Nothobranchius furzeri: one gene and its partner. The protein of the gene in region 1 interacts with the protein of each later gene in a pairwise test. Links are inferred from orthologs where the notes say so. Each region holds a gene or a part of one and is shown on either strand. Other genes may lie near its edges.

What was found.
Region 2: the proteins of xpo7 (region 1) and uso1 interact in binary tests that used the Homo sapiens proteins (3 or more experiments, as listed by UniProt). The two-hybrid records come from large-scale screens. The link is inferred for Nothobranchius furzeri from reciprocal best matches to the Homo sapiens genes XPO7 and USO1.

What each region holds. Positions count from the first base shown.
Region 1 is NC_091746.1:34,508,273-34,517,520, reverse strand, and holds part of xpo7 (exportin-7), read left to right. Parts: intron 1-1,473; coding exon 1,474-1,578; intron 1,579-3,502; coding exon 3,503-3,668; intron 3,669-4,400; coding exon 4,401-4,474; intron 4,475-4,552; coding exon 4,553-4,672; intron 4,673-4,752; coding exon 4,753-4,899; intron 4,900-4,974; coding exon 4,975-5,147; intron 5,148-7,057; coding exon 7,058-7,251; intron 7,252-7,322; coding exon 7,323-7,428; intron 7,429-7,635; coding exon 7,636-7,771; intron 7,772-8,580; coding exon 8,581-8,654; intron 8,655-8,868; coding exon 8,869-8,949; intron 8,950-9,147; coding exon 9,148-9,211; intron 9,212-9,248.
Region 2 is NC_091744.1:13,143,942-13,148,173, reverse strand, and holds the start of uso1 (general vesicular transport factor p115), read right to left. Parts: upstream 2,801-4,232; 5' UTR 2,664-2,800; coding exon 2,598-2,663; intron 1,682-2,597; coding exon 1,595-1,681; intron 576-1,594; coding exon 511-575; intron 1-510. UniProt on the Homo sapiens protein: General vesicular transport factor required for intercisternal transport in the Golgi stack; it is required for transcytotic fusion and/or subsequent binding of the vesicles to the target membrane.

The DNA of each region.
Region 1 (9,248 bases):
ATCAAAAACTTGTTTATATTGTGAATATACTTAAAAGTAGCAGCGTTGTTTACTCCCTCAGTATGCAGCTGACGGAGCAGGCAGGGTTACTTTTCTCTGCATAACACCTGTAGCACTCCAGCAAAGTAGCTTGTTTGAAGGCAGTGAATCATGGAGCTGTGTCCAGCATGTTGAATGCTCAGTACGCACACATTACAAGTGTCTGTAGCTCTGCCTTCGCTGTCTGGTTTAAAATACCACCAAGCTGCAGATACTTTAGCTGTTCTGAGGAGACATGTTAGCTCAGTGTTAGCAGGCTTGCTAACAGCGGCGCTTGGTGTCTGAGTCCTTGCCTGCCGTAAATTGTGTGACTTTACTGTGTTGTTTTCGTACAAGAAACACACATTGATGGTGTAGAGGGACTTATTGAAATTAAAACTGTCATTTTTATTCAATTTGAAAATTTCTATCTCCAGATTCATTTTCAAGTCATGTTTGTTGTTTTAAAATGTTAAATCCAATTTATTTCTCCCGATTCCGATCCTTTCAAAAACACGTGATCTGGCCAGATTTCTGATCACATGATCGGATCGGAGCATCCCTACAAAATACTAATTCATGGTCAATTCCGTTATATTTTACAGTCAGCAAATGGTAGGAACTTGTGAGGGCAGGCACATATGAAACTGCTACAAGTCCAAAGTTTCAATTTCACACACGGAAAATCTTCATGCAGTGTTTTGTGATGCTGCTTCAAACAATGAATGAGGTTGGATGCATTAAACATTCCTGGTTCTTTTCCACCACGGGAAACTTGTGCATGGCAAATGTTGCAATGAGCCACCCTCCAGCCACAGACTTGAACAAAAAATACGACATTGCTCTTGTTCCTTGCTACTTTGCTAACACGCACTGTTCTGATCACGTGGGCTTTGCGCTGCTGGATATAATTGCTGGAATTAAATTAGAATCTGAACGAATTGCTAATATTGGACATTTTTGATGCCGTCTGATATAATCCAATGCGGTGTTTTTGGGCCGATATCCGTCCTATTTCTGATATCAATGTCAACTGTTCATACAAATAATCATCACTCAATTGGGTTGAGAGGCTTTTAGCCAATCAAATTAGGCTTCTCTGATCATGTGACGCCAACAAGGCATTGACTCATTCAACGATTGCTTTGGCTTGGGTCACCAGGAGGTCACCTCGTTTGTTGCTGATTTTTTGCTGTTGAATTCTTTGCCTGTGCATTTGAAGTAAAAACTTTGAATACATAAATTCACAGAATTAAAATTCAGACTGTATTTCTTCCATAGATATATGCATATTTTAAGAAATTAAGTGGCAGAGCATTTACAGGGAATGGGAACATAAATGGAAAACTGGACTAAGTCAGTTTAATTTCCTCCAACGTCCACAACCAGTTTTCACTAACCTACTGCCGCATCGGCTGTATAACTCCTATTAAAGCATGTGCTCTTCTTCCTCAGGCCGACACAACACATCCTCTGACCAAACATAGGAAGATCGCCTCCTCGTTCAGAGACTCCTCCCTTTTTGACATCTTCACTCTGTCCTGTAACCTCCTAAAGCAGGTTTGGAAGTTACATCATCACTTCTCCCTGACCATCCTGGTCTAACTTACATAAACCTGTACAAGCCTGGTGTATAGTAACGATATCAAAGAAAGAAAATGGTAAATGGATGCTGTACAAAAGTTTTAGGCAGCTGTGGGGAAAGGCTGTGAAGTTAAACTATAGGAGTTGACGTCACTTCTCCCGGCATGCAACAGTTCAAATCGAAACGGCGCCAAATTGGCAGGCAGAAGCCCGCAGCTGGACTATTTGTTGTTGTCAGAAAACTCAATCAGACAGGAAATATGGTAGATTCCTGTCGTGCCCCAGGATGCAGAACAAATGCGGACGACATAAGGAATGATTCATCTACAGGATTCCCCAAGATCCGGAGCGCCGGTTTCCTAAACTTATTTTGGCGTGGCTTTTTCTGTCTTATTACTCATAGCAACAAGTAAACATCACGTAAAACGTTGCCTCGTGAGTTCTGCGTGCTGCCGTTTACGTGTTTTATGATCACAGCAATTAGCCGGCTAAGCTGTATTTCATTTTAAAGCAATGGTTGATCAATTGTCAGATCACACATAAAAAGCACTTTGGATTGCTATTATCTGTCTCACCGAGACAGATCTCAGACAGATCCTGAGACGCTGCTGCCTGACATATTTATTTTATTCACGGAAATAAATCAAACTAGTGGTTTCTCTTGGCGTTCAGTTTATACATTCAAACAACACAGCACTCTATTTAAACTACTTACATGTAAATCTATGTTATTTGTCCATCCATTTTCATCCGCGTATCCAGAGTCGGGTTACGGGGGCAGTAGCGTCGAGAGGCCCAGACTTCCCTCTCCCCAGCCACTTGGGCCAGCTCCTCCGGGGGAATCCCAAGGGGTTCCCCGGCCAAGTCTGGTAAGCAGTCCGCTCCGACAGCTTCTGGCGTTTTAAAAAAGTATCCCAGGGGCACGGTAAGGGTCGGAGATGTTTAGTCTATTTTATTTCTGACTATATAAAACGATTTCTTCAGTTTTAAAGTGTGAAGTAAACTCCGACGAAGTAAAATCCAAGCCGATCCCGTTCAATTTGTTTACATTTGTTGCCTGCCAACATGGCGTCTACTCTCTGAGAGTCGCGTGACGTCCGGAGCTCTATAGAAGAAAGCAAAATGAGAAAAATATGTTCTACATGGTGAGCCTTTGTTTCATAAACAGTATCAGTTCTTAAAGGACAAACACATCAAGTCAGGGAAAAACAACCTTCTACTGAGGTGAGGCAATAGAGAACCAGTCAGCATGGGTGCTACATCAGCCAGGTCTCCTCCAGGTGCAGGTTTCAATGTGGAAGACAGACACATTGTTGTTCTTAGTTAGATAAAAAAAAAACACAAAAAAAACTGATGAACGAGACCATCCTCACTTCCCTTCAGACCTGGAGACGGCCCATTGCTGCCATCAGCTTAGACCTGACAGACACCTTTGAGACTTGCTACACCTACCTGCTGTCTGCAGAGATCTGATCAGAACCAAAAGGTCACCAGCATAGATCAAGGTCAAAAACACAGGAACTGGGGTGCCGAGGAACAGCATTGGGCTCTCTGGAGTTATCAGTCCTGATCATATTTAATACCTGATTAAAAACCAACAAGGAGGCGTCTGATTGGCCCTGAACGAATCCACAGTAGGACAACATCCCTAACAACTTCTTCAGCAGAAGGTAACACAAAATGTGCTGTTGGTGCAGTCCTAATCTCATCAGTGTTATCAGTGTTTGGGATAACATACAGAAACAGCAGGACCAGAGCAGGGGTCCACCCCTAAACAAAGACTCCAAACCCAGAAGAAGAATTTAGGAGTCAGAAAAGCTGCTACTGGGGTTTGGGCTCAAACCTAACAGGTCAGGCTCTGATCAGACCCCACATTAACAGTTTGTCTCTTTGTCTTCAGGCTTCAGGGAAGAATCTAAACTTGAACGATGAATCTCAGCACGGATTGCTGATGCAGCTCCTGAAACTCAGCTACAATTGCCTCAACTTCGACTTCATAGGAACTTCCACAGACGAGTCGTCAGACGACCTCTGCACCGTTCAAATTCCTACATCATGGAGATCAGGTAGCTGGTTGTTCTGGTGTGTGTAGCTGCCATCAGCCTCTGTCTGGTCTTTGTCTGGTTTTTCTGTGTTTTAAACAACTTGTCAGCTGGTTCACCAACACTTATGGATCTGCAGTTTTCTGCTGTCAGGTTTACAATTTTAATCACGAGGGGCAACAAACGGGTGTCTTCTGCCTCTGGCTGGCGGGGCTTCTTACCTGCTCCGTGTTGCGCCCTCACTGATGCTCAGAGGAGATCAGACTTTTTCAGTCATTGCCCAGATAGTTAAACATCAGACGGGCATCTTCACTTCCTGTTTTGAAATCTCTTTAAACACAGAGGTTCTCTTATTGTTTTTGTTTTCTGTGTTTTATACATTTTTATAATTCTACAGAACACTGGTTCAATGTGTTGTTTTAAATGTGCTTTACAATCGGATTGGATTGGAAAAATCCCAAACAGAGATGAACTCTGGGTTTAGATGTTGAAACAAACGTTCCTAGCAGACACTTTCTGATGGACAACTGTTTCCTGCTGAGCAGAACTTTGTACAGAACAGAAATGTGATATCGAAGGCTTTGTTTATAAATAATGTATGTGAACGGAAAACAAGGATGGGCTTTTTTCTGCACAAAGCCCTTTTAGAAAGGACTAAAGTGCAGTGAGGTATCCACCTCTGAGCATTCATACGTGTTCTTGCACTGAAAAGCTTACACCTGTAAACCTCCACATCACCTTTTATCTCCTCTGCAGCGTTCCTCGATTCCTCCACACTACAGCTGTTTTTCAATTTATACCATTCCCTCCCTCCGTCCCTGTCCCCGTTGGTAAGTAGCACCACTCAGACTTGTGAGACTTGTGTGGCGTTCCCAGAGCAAGTCTAAGCTGCTGGTGTACCTGTGCAGGTGTTGTCGTGTCTAGTTCAGATAGCCTCTGTTAGGAGGTCCCTCTTCAACAACGCAGAGCGTGCAAAGTTCCTCTCACATTTAGTGGATGGCGTTAAGAGGATATTAGCAAACCCACAGGTAAAACACTCACAAACTAAAAGCAATCCTGCAGTCCCGGTCGTGTGTTGTGTTGAGATAGGTGTGTGTTTGTGCGGCAGTGTTTGCCAGATCCAAACAACTACCACGAGTTCTGTCGTCTGCTGGCGAGGCTGAAGAGTAACTACCAGCTGGGGGAGCTGGTGAAGGTAGAGAACTACCCTGAAGTAATTCGCCTCATAGCCAATTTCACCGTCACCAGCCTGCAGGTGAGTCATCTTTACGCTAACCAACTCAGACTACTGGGTGGGCGTCACATAGTGACATATCCCGCTGTCTTCCAGCACTGGGAGTTCGCCCCAAACAGTGTTCACTACCTGCTGAGTCTGTGGCAGCGTCTGGCCGCGTCCGTGCCCTACGTCAAAGCCACCGAGCCTCACCTACTGGAGACATACACCCCAGAGGTGACCAAGGCCTACATCACGTCACGGCTGGAGTCGGTCCATGTTATTCTCAGGTAACACACACACACGACTACATGGTGACCTTTCATGTGATCGCTTAACAGATCACTATAAAGCTGTAATGAGCTGATGTTTCTAGATTTTTTTCTCTAAAACTAACAAACCTTAAAATACTTATCTACTGATCTAATCACATGGGTGGACATACATTAAGACAAATCTGTTAATCTTAATTACTTCAGTGCTTATGACACCTTTTTTTGGTTTATTTATTTTATTCATGATTCATCCTGGTCAAATCACTGCAAGCAAGCAGTATTTTTGTAGCCTGGCAAGCATACATAAGTACAGGCTACATGAATACACTTCATTGACAGCTCTCGGTGGTGGGGCGGGTTCTACCATTGTCTTTCAAACGATCGCCACATGCTACAGGACAATGAACAACGTGACGTACTCGACACAACAATTTTCAGTGAACGAGGCGGTTCGCTGTTGAAGAAGGCGAAAACACATCCTTTTTTTAAAAAAAAAATAACATAAATACATCAATCTGCTACTGATCCTAATTAAGCCCAAGGCCTAATAGTCCTAAATTGATGTAAAAGCCGTTTCTAATGAGCTGTTGCCATCTTGTTCCACTCTGTTGCATCATCCCACCCACCAGACGAATAGAGGTCCCTGATCGGCCCACAAAGCGGATAAAGTGCTGTGATTGGTTCACAATGAAGTGAACGAGTGAAGAAGTAAATGTGTAAAACAACAACTTTCATGAATGTTGAGAGTTTTGTAACTCCTTATTGCAAACCTGTAAATGCTTTTTGTCCTCACGGGCTCCTGTACGATGCGATGCAACAACTGGGCATCATTTAATTCATTTTCCACAACATTTCAGTGATATCTCCGGAGTTTATCAGTAAAAACACATCGTTTCTTTAACAATTCTAGCCAGTGTTAGTTGACTCTCATAAACAAACAAAAATTATTAAATACATTAAACTAAACATTTTTAAACAAACTGAAAAAAAGAAAAAAAATTTACTTAAAGTTAATATCAAGTGTCTCTAAAAAATAAAAACTAAGTTAAAGAGAATAAAATATTGTAGTGCAAGAAGTCGATGTCCACATATGTGAACACAGGGTGTTTAACTCATTCACTGCCATTGACGACTAAAGTCGTCATTTTAAATCCAACCGTTCACTGCCAATGTCGTCACAATGTCGTCATTTGCATTTTTTTACTGTTTGGGCATCGGAACGAGCCCCCGCACCAAGAGAACAAACATCTCAACGCTGAAGCCGATCTTCATCCGCGTGCGCCACACGTCACGTGATCAGGAAGCAGAAAATCCATGTGTTAGGAGATCGTTTTGGGCCGTTCCTGTAAAAGAAAGTGAGGCGCGAACCGGAAAAATATCTGCCGATCACAATTCAACAACGGATTATGAAAGAACGTATAACGATCGGAACGCGCTGATCCTTTCTGATGTAAGAGGTGAGTCTCCGCTTTGTTTTGGCGTCTACGTCATCCTAGCATGCAACGTTCTATGACTCTTAAAAAAACTGTAAAAATGGCGAGAAACACTGGCAGCGAAGGGTTTTACCGATCAGGAAACGGCTGGCAGTGAATGAGTTGATCATAAAGGAGCAAAATAAAACACCACTATAGTCTACCACACACACACTTGTCTTTCTGCCATGCCGCTCTGCACCGTCTCTTCAATAACCTCAGACACACAGGATATTTTCTGCATTGTGTGAATCGTCTCAGCCACTATGACATGAAACTATAAATGTTTGTTTCTTTTGTCAGTTAAAAATTCACACAAGTAACTAACAGCAGCATTGTTTCTCTGCATAGCTGCTGATCATCTAGTGAGTTGGGATTATTTGCTTCTTTAATCTGAGACAGATTAATAAAACCAGTAGGGGGGGGGAATGAATGAATCTGTTCTCTCTACAGAGACGGCTTAGAAGACCCTCTGGATGATGCTGGCCTCGTCCAGCAGCAGTTGGACCAGTTGTCCACCATTGGCAGGTGTGAATATGAGAAGACGTGTGCACTACTAGTGCAGCTATTTGATCAGGCAGCACAGACATACCAGGAGCTCCTGCAGTCCACTAACTCCAGCGCCGTGGACGTCACGGTACAAGAAGGTACGCTGAGCCCACGCTCACCCTGCAGCAGAGCAGTGGGCGTGTGTGTTAACACTGGGATCTGTGTGCAGGACGGTTGACGTGGTTGGTTTATATCATCGGGGCGGTGATTGGTGGACGGGTGTCTTTTGCTAGCACAGACGAGCAGGACGCCATGGATGGGGAGTTAGTCTGTCGGTAAGCATCGCAACATCCCAAGAGAATGTTCTTCAAATGGATTTTTTAACATTTTTTTGTAAAATCTCAGAAACAAGGGAAGTTTGTCAGAATGAGTCAAAAAACGAAGAAGCCAAAACAGCAGGGTCACTCATGTTTTATTGATGTTGACCTGATCAGAATCACTCAGTCGCTCATCTGCACTGACGGGGATTTTGTTTCTGTCAGGGTGCTGCAGCTGATGAACCTCACAGACTCGCGGCTCGCTCAGGCTGGAAACGAGAGGCTGGAGCTGGCCATGCTCAGCTTCTTTGAACAGTTCAGAAAGATCTACATCGGTGATCAGGTTCAAAAGTCATCAAAGGTGAGCTCTGCAGAGGAGCACGCTGCCTGGCTGCCCCTGAGCTTCATACCAATCCACTTTATTCTTTTGTTTAAGGCTCTTACTGCAAAAGTCAACCAGTCAGATAAGTGGAGGAAACTAGAAACAGTTTGGAGTTAGACTCAGTTTAGTAACCTGTTGTGAGACACACATCATAAAGCTACATATTAATAAAAACTAGGGATGTGTATTGGTGAAATTTTGGCGATATGATATGTATCACGACATATTGCGATACATTCAGTCAGATGTTGTTAGCGATTTTTTTAGACTGAATTTATTTTGGGAAAATTCAATAAACAGTCCAAACTGATACATACCATGTTTAACATGAGGTATGTGAACCATAATAGAGGGATTTGCATTTCAGTGGTGGAAACAAAACCCGTTGCACACTGCTGCCAACTATCAGTCAGCGTTTGAATTGCACCAAAACCAAAGAAAATACACAAATGTTTGCATGTAAATTCTTCCAAAAATCTGATACACAGCTTTTGAATATCGATATATTATCGCTGGAAAAAAATCACGATATATTGCCATATCGATATTTTCTTACATCCCTATTAAAAAAAACTAATAATTTAGTAGTTTTCTTGGATGTTAAGGTGACATAACTAGTAAAATCAAATGGATAAAAAGTTGCCACCTAAGAAAACCACCAAATTATTTTAACGTCTGTCTATCAAAGCACATTAGGGAGATGTAATGAGTGTGTAGTAGATCCAGCATGTGATCAGTCCTCTGCTGCTATGAGTGCGGTCTACTTCATCCATGTCTATGTGTTCCAGCTTTATCGACGACTATCAGAGGTTCTGGGGCTGAACGATGAAACCATGGTACTCAGTGTCTTTATTGGGAAAATGTAAGTGTGTGTGTGTGCGTGTGTGTGTGTGTGTGCGTGCGTGCGTGCGTGTGTGTGTGTTGGAATCACAGAACTAAACAACTTTGTGTTTCAACGGTTCAAGTTAATGGAACATGGTTTAGTTAGACTTTTGAAACTAGGACGCGATAATAATTTAGTCATTATTGATGAAGGGATTCTCAGTGCTTTGTTGTTGTTTTTTTCCTCTTCTCAGCATCACAAACCTGAAGTACTGGGGCCAGTGTGAACCAATCACCTCTAAGACACTCCAACTGCTGAACGACCTCTCGTTAGGATATCCTCTGTGTGTGTGTGTGTGTGTGTGTGTGTGTTTCCTGTTGTGTGAAGATTAATCTGAACATCATGTTGTACCAACAAAGGGGGTTAATCTACCGCTAGCTAGTTCAAAAATCCTTTAATATGTTTTTATCTGTCTGTCTGTCTTGTCTATAAAGAGATAGGTGTGTGTTTTCTCCTTGACCTTCCTGTGTACGTACAGCAGTGTGAGGAAGCTGGTGAAGCTCAGCGCTGTTCAGTTCATGCTGAACAACCACACGGTGAGTGTTTCACAGCATAACAAAGCTGCAGCCAGTT
Region 2 (4,232 bases), on another chromosome or scaffold:
ACTAGTTGAAGGAATGCTAAAGATCGCAAAAATTATTTCAAGCTCTATTTTTCCACTTTGTTTAGCACTCGTGTCGCTCACTGCATTTGCCAACCAATATGGTAGACCCACGTGATCAGGTGATGTGGGTGCAAAGGGTCATTAGTAGCCTGGGTGAGGGGTGGGTGGGCGTGGCCGTTCCAGCTTGTTTTCTTAAAGTGACAGAGCCCTGAAACGGCTCATTCTGGAAGGTACTGAAACAGTCCAGATAAAAACTGCTGGGATTACTTTGTGTGAGAATTTTTGTGCAAAGAACTTCACGAGCATGTTTTGTATCGATAAAATAACTATTGCATAATTTTAAAAAGTCATAATTTGTCTCCTTTAAAAGGATTTTTTTGAAACCTGTGAAACTCTTAAAGACTTAAAACATTCAAATACAGCAATCATTACATCTTGAAAGTTTAAAAAAAAACTAAAGAAAGGTTTATTGGCATAACTGGAACAAAATTAAACAGCACACTAATATACCTGTCAGTTTGCAGGATGTTTATCAGGTGATCCATTGCCTGTGTGCCGACTTCCATGCGGTATTTCTACAAAAACACAACAGCTCTCATAAATAATGTAACACTTGGCAACTAGAGTCCAAAAACTCAAGAGAAGCTAAAGAATTTAAGCAAAGGTAAATGCTTTATGAACTCTTTGGTGCTTTGCAAATCCCTTATTCAAGCGTGATAAACTCATTAGTCATGGCTGAAAGGACAGCCAAAAACAAAACCGTTCAACACGTGAAAACAGGCGTGGTGGTGGTCAAGGATTAGTTCACCTTTATCAGCAAAATGTATTTTTTTAAAACGGCATTTATCTACAGGTAATCATGACATTTTTAAAATCTGACATTTTTACACTGAGATAAGTTTGTCTCTGGTGTTCAGATTCACTCAGATGGATGAAAAACCCTTCTCAGCAATCCTGACAAATAAGTCCCTTACTGATAACCAATAAAGCACTGGCATCAGGATCTCTGGTATTCCCTTTTTTTTTACACTAAAATGATGTCCGTGCTCTTCTAACATTAAACAATTTTTCTTTTGATAATTAAACTCCATTCATTAAAATTATGAAGTAAAAACAGAGCTGAGAAACAACAAAAGTGAGCTTTTAACAACTGGCATTCATGGATCCCAATCATGAATGTGTTCATCCACTGTTAACTGGTTCACTAGTGGCTGTCAGCATTTTGTAAAAGGGGTTGGTAATATAAAATCTGTTCAATAGCTGTTTGCAAGAGTGTTTTGAAGCACAGGCTAGTGAAATAACTAAATAACGAAAACAAAATCTAATGTGTGCAGAGATAAATTGTCCCCTTGCACCAAGTTACTCCAAATACCCGGAACATACATACCGAAGACAGGTTCAAACAATATATATGAAGAGATGTGTAAAGTAGCATTATAACAGTTATATAGTAATTTGGCTGTGAAATTAAACTAATCTTTAAAAGTTTCAAACCGATGGTAGCAGCAGCACATGACTCTCCACACAGATTACAGGTGGTGAACTTAATAAACAACCTACTTAGCATTTCTGTACATTTATCCTCAAACTTTACCTTAGAGAGAGATTTAAGAGCCCGAACAGCATCTCTGCGGTCCTCCAGGAGTGTTGAAGAGGCTACTCGGTCACACAACTTCTGGATCTGTCAATAGGAAAAAAAAAAACATTCTGCTCATGTAATTTGCATCCTTATCTCCTCCTCTATGTGTGTTATTGTATTTAAATATATGTTGCAGTTAAATAATAGCATAGGAAAAGAAAGAATAAAAGGTTTTCATAGTAATAATAAGAGCACATGTGTGACAAAGTTCTGACTTTTGATACTAAAACTAAAGGTTTATCTGCAGAGCTGAATAATGAAATTCTTCTAGGTTAAACTGGAGAATATTGCAGCAAAAAATCAATACATCGCTGTAGAGCAGACATAAAGCAAGAATGTAAATGATAGCACAGCAGTGGTCACCTAAACTGATAGATAAATGGGTTTGACTTCAATACTGCTGATCATTCCAAGTGGGATAAAAGACCCTGGAGAAAGTGAAAGTAAGACTGTCCCTAGATGTGAACGATGTGCGCATTTTCATAAAACAACTTAAAACGGGTCACAGCTGTAATGAACAAGATCGTGGGGGTAAGCCTGACATTTTCCACTCTAAAGGGCTTGACAGAAGTGGCAAATACCAGTTTGGTACAGCAGTGGGTGTATAACACCTCCACTACGTTTAATTACTGTTCGTCAACTTGTCGTTACTGATAAAGAAAATTACCAAACAAGGATTGTGGCTGAGAAGTAAACAGTTGCTGCCGATGACTCCATCCTTTGAGCTTGTTTTCTTTAAATGTTCATTCATAAAGTAAAGTTTACACAGCCTCACCCTCATATCACCATGACAGCTGCACGGCTACAGGCTTACACAAGTGAAAATGCGTTCATGTTCTTAACACATGTAGTGGCTCTAGAATGAATAAAATGTGAGAAAAAAAAATTCAACTACGAGTGCTTTCTTTTCAATTCGACCAAGACCTTAGCTAGCTTAGTAGCTGAGATGCTAGCTCACCGTCTCCGCTCCTGTTGGTTGCGGCCCGGTAGCCTGCCCTGTAATCACTCCTCTGAAGAAGTTCATACTCACAGACGTCCTGTGCTTCAACACAAGCTGACAGCTATTTACGTAAGCCGCGTAGAAAATGTAGAATAAGTGAAAAATAATACAGTAGTAAGGAAATCTAGCACTGTGTTGGATGACGGACCCCGGAACACAAACAGGAGAGCAGTGCGCATGCGCGCAAACGTGGCGAAACGTGGACGTATTAGCAGATGAGTGAGCAGTTTGTTTAAAGGGCCAGGGGACTACATTAGGTTTAGGCCCCCGTTTTCCTTTTTGATTTTTCTTTCGCATTTTAATCAAAATTATTATTTTTATCACATTTTTACTGTGAAAAATGAGCCACTATATAAAAATTGTTTCTTCTTTCAAGGGTAACATTTCATGAAAACATTTAACTCACAATGGCTCCAAACGGTGCTGCTGCTGCACCTGCCTCAGCTTCTAGAGGTTTCAGAGTTGTAGCTGTTTGATTCACACTAGATTTGCTGTCGCGCATCACACAATAAATGCACCAAAAAGTAATTGAAGTATGTACTATCTTAAAAACAGTATGTTTGAACTACATTTATAATTTTATTCTCAGTTGGGGGTGATTGTGTGTGTGTGTGTGTGTGTGTGTGTGTGTGCGCGCGCGCGTGCCTGCGTGCGCGCGCGCGCGCGTTAGTGACATGTTTTTCTGACTAATGGGCCATTCCCATCTGTACCGGGTCGGCCCGGGCCGGGTAGCCCCAGTCGGCCCCAGTCGGCCCCAGCCTGGCCCGGTTGATTCCACACATTCTTGTCTTAAGCCCATGTGGGCTGATTCTACCCACCAATCAGAGGCTTGCTCTAATGGAAGGTGTGAATTTGCTGTCAGCAGTGGGTGTGTTGGCCCTGGTCGGCCTGAAGCAGACCCCCTCGAGAAGAGGGCTGAGAATGAGCCTTGGTTGGCCCGGAAAAATACCAGGCCACCCAGATATGTAAACAACCTACGCTACCCGGCCCGGGCCGACCCGGTACAGATGGGAATGGCCCACAAGAATCCAAGAGCGGGTGTGAGTGGGTGCAGGGCTGTGGCAGCTCCATCCTCTTGGTTAGCCAGGCAACGCCTCCTTTTGGCACATGTTTCAAACAGGAAGCTTGGGTGGAGTAAGACTCTGGTGGGGGGGATAACTTCAAGTTATATTAAAGTTATATTATAATAGTTAAATGATCCTTACAAAACATGTCTACGAAGCACAAAATCCGGTGTCACGCAATGCAATTTCAGCAGTATTAATCTTGACAGTTTCAGTACCTTCCTGCATGAGCTTTTCATGGCTCTGTCACATAAAAATAAACTGGAGCCGGCCAAACCCACCCCTCCCCTGCTCTGACTGCTATAAGCTGAGGCACTCCAATATCTGGGAGAGGCTTGGAGTAGAGTGCTGCCCCTCCAGCAACAGCTCTCTCTTGCATGTGAGAGGTGGTTCTATTCTAATTCCCCTGTTTGTGATGTCACAAACTGGGACATTTCGAAACCACTTGTTTTAGACAGATAATTCATAAAACCAAACACTGATAGAAAGCAGTTGGATTTTTTTTTCTCAATTGGAGTGTTGCCACCTT